Arabidopsis thaliana: one gene and its partner. The protein of the gene in region 1 interacts with the protein of each later gene in a pairwise test. Each region holds a gene or a part of one and is shown in the gene's direction. Other genes may lie near its edges.

Evidence for each region.
Region 2: the proteins of ACS5 (region 1) and FEI2 interact in a two-hybrid assay, tested with the Arabidopsis thaliana proteins (one study listed by BioGRID).

The regions. Positions count from the first base shown.
Region 1 is NC_003076.8:26,330,026-26,334,815, reverse strand, and holds ACS5 (ACC synthase 5), read left to right. Parts: upstream 1-2,003; 5' UTR 2,004-2,117; coding exon 2,118-2,396; intron 2,397-2,500; coding exon 2,501-2,661; intron 2,662-2,747; coding exon 2,748-3,720; 3' UTR 3,721-4,070; downstream 4,071-4,790. UniProt on the Arabidopsis thaliana protein: 1-aminocyclopropane-1-carboxylate synthase (ACS) enzymes catalyze the conversion of S-adenosyl-L-methionine (SAM) into 1-aminocyclopropane-1-carboxylate (ACC), a direct precursor of ethylene.
Region 2 is NC_003071.7:14,960,053-14,967,181, reverse strand, and holds FEI2 (Leucine-rich repeat protein kinase family protein), read left to right. Parts: upstream 1-1,743; 5' UTR 1,744-1,936; exon of another isoform or gene 1,937-2,165; intron 2,166-2,409; 5' UTR 2,410-2,541; coding exon 2,542-2,638; intron 2,639-2,749; coding exon 2,750-2,885; intron 2,886-2,975; coding exon 2,976-3,047; intron 3,048-3,135; coding exon 3,136-3,207; intron 3,208-3,459; coding exon 3,460-3,531; intron 3,532-3,919; coding exon 3,920-3,991; intron 3,992-4,085; coding exon 4,086-4,157; intron 4,158-4,352; coding exon 4,353-4,441; intron 4,442-4,562; coding exon 4,563-4,718; intron 4,719-4,813; coding exon 4,814-5,146; intron 5,147-5,225; coding exon 5,226-5,471; intron 5,472-5,565; coding exon 5,566-5,699; intron 5,700-5,776; coding exon 5,777-5,995; 3' UTR 5,996-6,331; downstream 6,332-7,129. Other genes in the region: MOR1 (ARM repeat superfamily protein), read right to left, coding at 192-354; AT2G35615 (Eukaryotic aspartyl protease family protein), read right to left, coding at 6,448-7,129. UniProt on the Arabidopsis thaliana protein: Involved in the signaling pathway that regulates cell wall function, including cellulose biosynthesis, likely via an 1-aminocyclopropane-1-carboxylic acid (ACC)-mediated signal (a precursor of ethylene).

The DNA.
Region 1 (4,790 bases):
GAGACAATAATATGTTACATCTACCAAAGAATATTCCAGTTAAGTTAGTTAATAGTTGGAGTCAAACTTAAACGAACAACGTCGCCTACAAATCTGGGGGTATAAGTTATAACCAACGGCCACCAACATGGGTTTTGATATCGTCCACCTGATTTTTATGTTAATATAACTCAATTTGATTGATTAAATATTATGCTCTTATACTAATCATTCTAGGTCCAAAACTGAATCACTCATTGCACATCATTTTTATGATTTTTATTTTGAAAATCTCATGTTTCAAGAAATATTTGTGCATTCTACTAGTAGCTTATTTTAAATAAAGTTTCGAGTTTATATAATAAACAATATGTTTATTTCTTTGATTTGTATACATTTTAAAAAAAAAAACAGGATGAAGATATATACAACTAAAGCTCAATTCAACTAGTAGGAAAATTGTATTCTACAAAAAATTTGTGTTTATGTTTTTATTATGATAACCATCCAAACTCATTATTTCACCCATGATCAAAGTAACTATATCAATATATCTGCAACAATATCTGACTCAACATTTATTTTTACATAAACTGCGGACCAACACAATTATGCTAAACTATCATCATTTATTCTATTGGTATTGGAGATCAGTCTACGTCAGTGAATACCGCATAATTCACATGAAACTAACTCCAAAACCCTTTAACCAAAAAAAAAAAAAAACTAATTACAACTCCGGTTAACCTGTCGATAATTACAAGACTGAAAACATCCTAGTCAGTAAAAAACATATTTGTATGTATCCGATCCCACCAAATAAATAAGTTGTTGTCAATGATAGAGGAAGAGAAAACGAAAAAAAATTGCGGACCAAGACATTTGGGACTACTAGAGTTTAGGGAGCATAAATGGTCCTATTTGACTTACCCTCTACCGTATAAATAAATGTATTTTAGCCGTATAAATGTATACATACGTAGATGCATAGGTATACAGGATTACTTTAGACGATTTGATGTCGGTATGACATTACATTTGACTCCCCTAGCTCCACTTGTCTCTGTTCATTTTTCTTGTATGTCATTTCCTTGTTTTCCAATTTTACGTTTACCACCCTATTTTATTTTGTTAATATTTTCTAAGTCAACGTGTTGACACTTAATTACAGAATCTGATAACTAAAGTTACATAAAATGCTCACAGTTTTTTTCAGCAAAATACTCACATTATACGACATATAAAATTTTAGCAGTCTATAAATAGTAATTATTTGGCATTAGTATTGGACAAGAAGTAGAATATAAATTAATGTTGGTTCTTTTTTCTATCCAACTTCACACAGCCAATTTTGTAGCTGACATCGTGAATGGACGACTAAACTAATCATAAGCATAGTGATTCAGTTTATACAACAACAACAAAAAGTTAATTACATTTGAGGTTTCTTTTTAAATTGCTATGTTTGGTCCCTAAATGATGGTCATAATAAGGACGGTCCGGCGGTGACGGAAACGCGTAAAGACTAATCATTTTAGTACTATTAATTTGTAGAATTATTATTAAATATGCTTGAATCCTAGAAAACGATCAAATAAATTTTGGAAAGAAGCTCAAAATGTGTTATTTAATTTTGTCCCTATGTAGAGCTGGTTTTTTTATTTTTATTTAAACATAATCCTAAGATTTATTGCTGTATGTGTGAATGCAATAATAAATAGAAACTCAATAATAGATCATTCTTATTTTCAAAAAGAAACAAGAACTACTGCAATGTTTTAATTGTTTATTTTGTATTAAATAATATAGCTTGTTAATTATTGGAGATCGCATTAAATAATAAAAGAAGTTGTCTCACATGTCTTGGAGAATATTTACTAAAAACTATGGTAATGTCTGGACGGTCAAAAAAGTCTCTCTAGTTTCTGATTCTGTTGTCACATTTTATTTTTGAAATTAAATGTCGTTAGATTATTATTATCTATATATATATATATCCCAACAGACCCATTGCTTCTCCAACCACATCTCACTCTTCACCAACTTAAACCCTAATTCAAGATCTCTTCTTTTCGTTCTCTCCTTCACCCACATTAGTCTTCTCTACGACCAAAATCTCTTGACTTTAAAAACAGAGAATGAAACAGCTTTCGACAAAAGTGACAAGCAATGGTCATGGACAAGACTCATCCTACTTCTTGGGATGGGAAGAGTACGAGAAGAATCCTTATGATGAGATCAAGAACCCTAATGGGATGATCCAGATGGGTCTAGCCGAAAACCAGCTATGTTTCGATCTAATCGAGTCATGGTTAACTAAGAACCCAGACGCGGCAAGTCTCAAGAGGAACGGTCAATCCATTTTCAGAGAGCTTGCTCTATTTCAAGACTATCATGGCATGCCTGAATTCAAAAAAGTAAGCTTCTTTCATTTTTCTCAAATTCAATAAAGAGAGTAACCTGACGTGTATCACAAGTAATGAATCCATTTCTCATGAACATTTTCTGTCATTTTTTACAGGCTATGGCTGAGTTTATGGAAGAGATAAGAGGAAACCGTGTCACGTTCGATCCAAAAAAGATTGTTTTAGCGGCTGGTTCGACATCTGCGAATGAGACTCTCATGTTTTGCCTTGCAGAGCCTGGCGATGCTTTCCTTTTGCCTACTCCTTACTATCCTGGGTAAATTACACTTCTCCTCTTTACTTGGATTCCAAGTAAACCCAATAGAAATATATGCTTACGTCTAGGCTTTTTTATGATTACAGATTTGATAGAGATCTTAAATGGAGAACCGGAGCAGAGATAGTACCCATTCACTGCTCAAGCTCTAATGGCTTCCAAATCACGGAATCAGCTCTGCAACAAGCTTACCAACAAGCCCAGAAACTTGATCTCAAAGTCAAAGGAGTTCTTGTCACGAATCCATCTAACCCACTTGGCACTGCGTTGACCAGACGTGAACTTAACCTTCTCGTTGACTTCATCACTTCCAAGAACATTCATCTCATTAGCGACGAGATCTATTCAGGCACTATGTTCGGGTTTGAACAGTTCATAAGCGTAATGGATGTCTTGAAAGACAAGAAACTCGAAGACACGGAGGTTTCAAAACGAGTCCACGTCGTTTATAGCCTTTCTAAAGATCTGGGACTTCCTGGTTTCCGTGTGGGAGCGATCTACTCCAACGACGAAATGATCGTTTCAGCAGCTACAAAAATGTCAAGTTTTGGTCTTGTTTCTTCTCAGACACAATACCTTCTCTCTGCATTGCTCTCCGACAAGAAGTTCACTAGCCAATACCTCGAAGAGAACCAGAAACGACTCAAGTCCAGACAGAGACGCCTCGTGTCTGGTCTTGAGTCTGCAGGGATTACTTGCCTGAGAAGCAACGCGGGTTTGTTCTGTTGGGTCGACATGAGACACCTTTTGGACACAAACACATTTGAAGCAGAGCTTGACCTCTGGAAAAAGATTGTTTACAACGTGAAACTAAACATATCACCCGGTTCTTCATGTCACTGCACCGAACCGGGTTGGTTTAGGGTTTGTTTCGCTAATATGAGCGAGGACACACTCGATTTGGCCTTGAAGAGGCTCAAAACTTTCGTAGAATCCACAGACTGTGGACGAATGATATCAAGAAGCAGCCATGAAAGGCTCAAGAGTTTGAGGAAGAAGACAGTCTCTAACTGGGTTTTCCGGGTTTCATGGACCGATCGTGTACCTGATGAACGATGAAATTATTCATCTCCCTAAGTTTGAGACGACGAACAAAAGAAAACTTCACGGTTTTTTCTTCTTCTTTATTTCCTTCATTTTTTATATTTTGGGAAAGTATTTTTAATTTTCCAAGATATCTATAATCATATCATTATATATGTAATATTTTTTTTAATGTTTGGGTGAGTCTTTAATTTATGCAATTTTTCGGGTGTAAAATTGTTACTATGTGTTATTATATGTTTTTAATGCACTCAATCCGAATGTGGATTTGCAGTGGCTATATATATAAATAAATATATATCCCGTTGTAATTTTAGTGAAACGTTTGTGTGTATTGTACCCATATATAAAAATGTAATTCACTCTTTTTAGTTTATATATATTTTGTTTTATAAATATGGGTTTCTTTAATTTTATGCTCTATCATTTGGTATAGTTTTTGAGTTTGTTGTGAGAATTCTCCTCTGACTATAAGGCTATAAAGATCGTGTTAACGTTGTTGGTTAAGGACGTTAGTTGAGGCATATCAAAAGGAGGCTTAATTTAATGTCAATTAACTAATTAATTAATCATTATATGGTAATATGGCGGGAATTGTCGAATTGGTCAACTGAGAAAGCAAAAGGGGAAAGTCAAAGGTTTTCCACTTAGGTGAATCAAGAGAGAAGGTATGATCTACTTGTCGAAAATATTCGATGAAGCCTAAATAATTTAGTTAAAAATCGACTAAAACCCATTAACAATTTCGGGGTAAAGGTAGCTTCTAGCGTTCTACGGCAGTAAAGTTTTGAGCTTTGAATAGGTACGTTGCATTGCGTAAGAATGTTCACGTCACATATTTGAACTAAAATTACAAGTTTACAACGAAATCCACATTTTTTTTTTGTATAATCAAAACTTACTCTATCAGGATTAACGTAATTATAAGAAAAAAATGAGCAACTTATGAGAAACCGAAATCTGTATATCGAGAGCCATGGTTGATTGATATATATGTTAAGGAGGATATGTCCCAATGATTACAATGATTATAGATTTATACATTACAATTCCAATCATCGAAATCAATAATTTTCAAAAATTTG
Region 2 (7,129 bases), on another chromosome or scaffold:
GAATAAAAAATAATAATCAGAAATTCAATCAAAAGTAAAGCAAAATGGAACCCTAGACCAATCACATTCCCACTCAACAATCCAAATTCAAAACAGATCCACACCGATATAAACCACCCTAATCAGATCTGAGCTTCAAAAACAAAAACCCTAACATAATAATAATAAAAAAACGAGGTAGAGAAACTCACCAAAATCGCGAAGACGAGGGTCCTTAGGATCAGTAATCGAATCAAAAACAGAAGCTAAATCGACGTTAGCTTCGTTCCTAACTTTCCAATTCTTATGCCCAAGCCGATCCTCCCAAGGAAGTTTTTTCGCCTCCTTCAATAACTTCTCATCCTCCGTCGACATTACTCCACGAAATTATCTCTCCGACGGTATCGATCTTATCGATCTATACCAAGTTTTTTTTTTCTTCGTACGGTCTCTTGGAAACTTTCTCTCTCTTTTCAAAAAAATTTCTTCGTGTTGTTAGTGCCGGCAAGAGAGAGAGAGAGAAGGACAAAAAAGAAGAGTAGGGTGGAGCGTAATGAGAGAGAGAGAGTGGGGGAATTTTGGTTTCTACGTTTAAATCGGTGGTGTAATTTTTTTGTTAAAAACCCTTCACGCGCGTTTTGATTGGAAATGTTTACACGCGCGATTATTTCAAATCTTAAAACGAGCGTTTTTCTTTTGCTTTCTCCACGTGGAGAGATCGGCATTTTCAAACTATTTTAGGAAATGATTAACAGTACTGAATTTTCCTATTGTTGGTTCTGTAAATATTTTCAAAATATATTTACATTAACAATCTATTAATTTCTAAGAAAATAAAGTAATATTTTGAAATGAATAACTCATTTTTAGTTATAAAAATATTTATTTTAAAAAATCAACAAAATCATGAGTTATTATTACTTACTTATTGGATTATCTTTTCTTCTATAAAATACAAATAAATAGTCATTTTCTATAAAACTAGACACGTAAACCAAAATGGATTTATTAGTTTGATTATGGAAGTTCAAAAACATTGTGTATTTTATGATTTAAAAACTAGTTAAAATTTATTATTTTAATATCCTAAATATTTATGCTAGGATCTGATTTCGCTTTGGATTTTAATATATTTGAAATATCTAATTCAAATTCAGAATACAAATACTCAAATTTCAAACAAACTTTGATTGATAATTAGTACAAGAATATTTAAGCCACACCACACCTTACACCTTTTCCATCTCCATCCTCATGTCTTAGGTGATGTAACTCTCTATCTCCAGATATCTTTTCTTGTCTACTGCTAACACATGAAACAACAACTCAAATTTAAGCCATATTTTTACAATGGTACCAAATTTATAAGAATCATAGATGAAATTACCAAAACAAGAAGTTACGTGGAAAGATTGAATCCAATATTAATATTTTGATTTCTATTATAAAAGCAAATGAAATAATGATTATCAGTCCATTGTTTGTTCCATTTTTAAGTACACTTGTTTGTTTGATTTAGGTGAATAAGATCCGCTAAAGCTGAAAATACAAGAATTGTCCCTAAAGATAGTAAAGTACAGTACGCTTCCAAATAAATAACAATGGGCTTTAGTAGGCCCACGCAATAACGATGTTTTAACTGACCCAACAAGCCCTTGTCCAGTTCTGGCATTATACAATGCGTCGGTCGACACGTGTAATAAGTCATGATCGGCACGTGTGGTCTCCACTTCTCCTCTCTCATTGGTCGTAAACTCGTAACTAGCCGATTCCTTCTCCAAAGTATCTCACATTTCCACTGCACACTCTACTTTCTCTCTCTTCACTCTCTCATAAATCACAACAACAACAAAAAAAAAAAAGTTGTTAGTTAAGACATTGCTTTACAGCTCAATTGCGTCTTCTTCCTCTGTCTTATTCTTCATCTTCATCTTCCTCCTCGCGGATCCATTTTGAGGTTCGTGTAAATTCCCATTCTCTTTCGCCATTTTTTTGGGGGAAGTGAGATTTTGGTCTGAGTTATCGGCGAATCGATTTCGTTTTTTTAGATTATTGAATGGTTTTGTTGACTCTTCAGTTCTTCTTGTGCTGTGATTGCAATGATGTCCTCCGAATTTCGTGATTTAAGTTCGATTTTAGCTATCCGAGCTCCTCTTTAAATAATGAGTTGGGGTTTTATTCTGAAGGTTCGATTTCTGATTTTGCAAATTTGGGAGGTGGATTTGATCCGATTAGATAATCTCACTGTTCTGGGTGCTGTAATTGTTAATGAGACCATGCAAATGTTGTGCATCGATGTTGTGGAACGCTTGATTTGTAATTGAGGATTTGGTTGTCTGATTATTGGAAGATCGAGGCTTGATAGAGTTTCAAATGAGGGTCAGCTGTTATTGTTGTACGGTCTAATGACATTATTTTATTTAACTTCAGGAGTCTCTTTTTGTTTCTTGAAGATAGACTGGGCGTCACGGAGCAGCTGAGTATATGCTACGAGTGTTGCATTCCGGAGGCTGTTCTTTCAGATGATTGGCAGTAGCTATATTATGCTTGAACGGTGCCATAATGGGCATCTGTCTAATGAAGCGCTGCTGCTCATGGTTTCTTTTGATCTCGTTTCTCTCTGCACTAACGAATGAAAATGAAGCAATTAGTCCTGATGGTATACAGCGATATGTGTCTTTAATCTCTTCTATATTTTGTCTTTGACAAGTCATGATCACCATTTACTCCGCCCAGATTGCTGAAGGGATTAAATCCTTTTTTTCTCCAGGTGAGGCGCTTTTGAGTTTTAGAAATGGAGTTTTGGCTTCTGATGGTGTTATTGGTCTGTGGAGACCAGAGGATCCTGATCCATGTAACTGGAAAGGAGTGACCTGTGATGCAAAAACAAAAAGAGTTATAGCCTTGTAAGTTTAAAATTTCTTTAGTTTAAATTCTTTTTTTTTCTTCAGTATGTGGTGCATCTTTTGTCGGTTCCTGAAGTTTCTTGTGTGCAGGAGTCTTACTTATCACAAATTAAGGGGACCTTTACCCCCTGAGCTTGGAAAGCTGGATCAGTTAAGGCTTTTGTATGTGCTCCTAACCTTTTAATTAATATTATTGATGTCTAGCATATGCTCTACTACTCATTGTATGTGTATTCCCATGTCATTGCAGAATGCTTCACAACAATGCGTTATATCAATCAATACCTGCCTCATTGGGAAATTGCACGGCATTAGAGGGAATGTAAGGGCTTTCCCAAATACTTATGCTGATTAGTGTGATTACACTTCATTGCTGATCGAATTCTCGTTTTGTTTTTCCAAATTTTATATTATTTCCTAACAATTACTAGTGTTTTTCTTTATTTGCTTCTATATAGTTGGTGCATAATATTGATGCGTCTTGTGAGTGATGATAAACTCAGTCACAAGTTTAGCTAGTTGACAAGAATCGTTGTGAATCTTTTATAATTTATTGTCCTTTTATTCCTTGCAGATACTTGCAGAATAATTACATCACTGGGACAATCCCAAGTGAAATAGGAAACCTGTCCGGGCTGAAAAACCTGTACGTGGTTTTTTTCCTCGTTCTTCCAAGTGGATTTGTTTTCTTAGCCTCTCTAGGATCTGCTATTTGTTGTTCTGCTATCTACTCTCACCATTTAGTATCCTCTATAATTATATTGTGAACTACAAGAGGTTCTTCTGATCTTCCATGCAGCAACAACATAATGTTTTCGAAAGTACTTATTTCTACAGTCGTGGTGAACCCTAAAAATTATAGGGAGTTTGACATAACTTATATTTAATCACGTATTGTGTTATTTTTTCCGGGTGAAAAACTCTCAAATATGATGATGAGAATTGTAAATCTATGCTAGGCTTCTTTCATATTAAATGGGCATATCATCTACATTCTTCTGAACTACTATGATTTTTGACTCTCATTTATGAAGGGACCTCTCAAACAACAATCTCAATGGAGCTATCCCTGCTTCACTTGGGCAGTTGAAAAGGCTTACTAAATTGTGAGTTGCTAATCTCTAACTTGCGTATTTTATTTTGCAGTCCTGTAGATATATGAGTGTCAATGTTACTAACTATGTTGATCTTCTTTTGAAGCAATGTCTCAAACAATTTCCTGGTGGGAAAAATACCTTCTGACGGCCTACTCGCTAGACTCTCGAGGGACTCGTAAGTATAATTTATATATACCCATTTCCCCAACCAAATTTTTGTAAATTATGGTTGATAAATCTTTCTACGGTTGATCTGGCAAAGCAGTTATAATTTTTTTTGTGACGTTGTGTACGATAGCACCCTGTTACTAGCTTTGCAGCAGTGTAGCTGAAAATAACCAAGTCGTAAACTGTTGAATCACTCTTGCAGCTTCAACGGAAATCGTAACTTGTGTGGAAAACAAATCGATATTGTGTGCAATGACAGTGGAAATTCTACAGCTTCTGGGTCTCCAACAGGTAAAGCAACTGTGTTTTAATCAATTTCTTGTCAGGATATATGGATTATAACTTAATTTTTGAGAAATCTGTAGTATTTGGCGTGAAATGAGTTTGCTTTTTGGTTTCTCCCGTGTTATAGGCCAAGGAGGTAATAACCCTAAAAGGCTGCTTATAAGTGCTTCAGCTACTGTGGGTGGGCTGCTCCTAGTGGCGCTCATGTGTTTCTGGGGATGCTTTCTCTATAAAAAGCTTGGTAGAGTTGAGAGTAAAAGCCTTGTGATAGATGTCGGTGGAGGTGAGCCATGCTGACTCATATTGTAGATATTCTCTCTAAGAGTTATATTTTTCTCTCAAAACTTGACACCATAAGAGACGATTTTTTCTATCCAGGTGCGTCTATAGTGATGTTCCATGGAGATTTGCCCTACGCTTCCAAAGACATTATCAAGAAACTGGAATCTCTTAATGAAGAGCACATAATAGGCTGTGGAGGCTTTGGCACAGTGTACAAGCTGTCTATGGACGATGGCAATGTTTTTGCGCTGAAAAGAATTGTTAAGTTAAATGAAGGTTTTGATCGGTTTTTTGAAAGGGAGCTTGAGATTCTTGGGAGCATCAAACATCGTTACCTTGTGAATCTACGTGGATACTGCAATTCACCCACATCAAAGCTTCTGCTATATGATTACCTTCCTGGTGGTAGCCTTGATGAAGCTCTACATAGTAAACCCTCAACTTCATATTTACGGGTTTCCTTAACGGAGAATTATGATTCTATTAAGTGAAATTTTTGAATGTGTAGAGAGAGGCGAGCAGCTGGATTGGGATTCGCGAGTTAATATCATAATAGGAGCGGCAAAAGGGTTGGCATACTTGCATCATGATTGTTCTCCTAGGATTATACACCGTGATATAAAATCAAGCAACATCTTACTGGATGGAAATCTGGAGGCTCGGGTATCAGACTTTGGGCTTGCCAAGTTGTTAGAGGACGAAGAATCTCATATTACAACCATTGTTGCAGGCACATTCGGTTACTTGGCTCCAGGTACTCAATTACACAGTAATAACAATGCTTATTACTTGTTGTTACTATCTGTTAGGACCTAAATCCGTGAACTCATAATGAGTGTTTTTTGCAGAGTATATGCAAAGCGGTAGAGCGACTGAGAAAACCGATGTTTACAGCTTCGGGGTTTTGGTTCTTGAAGTCTTGAGTGGTAAACTTCCCACGGATGCCTCATTCATCGAGAAAGGCTTTAACATTGTTGGTTGGGTAAGCATAACGAGATCCAGCTTAGATAATAATATTGACTAGTAAAAGCTTAAATTTTGTTTTTTATAATCTTGCAGCTAAACTTCTTAATCAGCGAAAACCGGGCAAAGGAGATTGTTGATCTAAGCTGTGAAGGAGTGGAGAGAGAGAGTCTCGACGCACTTCTATCAATAGCAACAAAGTGTGTGTCGTCAAGTCCAGATGAGCGGCCAACAATGCACAGAGTCGTCCAGTTACTTGAATCCGAAGTTATGACTCCTTGCCCCAGCGACTTCTACGACTCCAGCTCCGATTGATCTCACGTTCACAAAGTCTGTCTGCCTTCTCTTTTCAGAGTTCCTTTTCAGTTTTACAGTACAAAGTTCTCGAGCCATTCATAGTCGGTACCTTTTTTTTTTTTTTTTTTTACTTTGAATTGGTAGATTGGTGACACGCCTCAATTGATCTGATCATGAGATTAAAATGTATATGACCATCCATTGTAGAAACACTGTTCCTAAGAATCTGAATAATTTCTCTATCATAATACTTTCTTGTTTGCTTTCTTAAGTTTTATTATACATGTTGTGTACTTCGGAACTAGTTGAAACCAATCATATAATATCGATGAGAAGATCAATATAGAAAGAAGGTAATTATTTTTACTAGCAAGGATAATTTTTAAGCTTTGATTCTGATTTTACATCTCCATAACAAACAAATGATTATCATGGACAATATAAAATAAGCTCGATACGACGCCGTCAAATCACAAATTCGCAGAGCAATCCATGTGTTGAAACGACACCGTCCTCGTCTCCAAGTCATACCCAACTAGGAAATCCATCTGAGCAAAGTTCCCATAGATGGCAACCTCGGTGGTCGGAACCATACTCAAGCAAACCATGTCTTCACTCAGTTTCACGAATGCGTTGATCGGACTCAGCCTCACATCTGCACCCGTGAAATGCACCGTTATCTCCGGCAAACCGATCTCTGCACTTCCGGATTTGAAACAGTGAGACAAAAGCCCTTGTGGATCACTCACGCGCTTGGCTCCGGTCACTGATTCCTCCACCGCCGAGCTAAATTTGTCAAAGAAACCAGCTTCGAGGAGGGTCAGTGTCGTTCCAGAGTCGATGATGATGTTTCCAGATGTCTCCGAGAGTATTCCGTCGTCGTTTGGGTTATACGAGCTTCCGGTGTAAGGAATCTTTTTCTTCCCGACGGAGATGGCTTCAAGCGTCAAGTAGTAGTAAGTAAGAGGCTCTTTATCGACCAACGGAGTTGATACCACGCCGGAGTCTTTGCTTAGACTTGAAGGAATCGAGTTAGTGCCTAGGTTTATGACGCTTGTGCCATTCGTGGTAGCTGACTTGTGAGACAAGCAATAAGAAAATTTCTTCGAAATCGACGAACCGAGCTGGGAGATTAGTGATAAATGACCACCA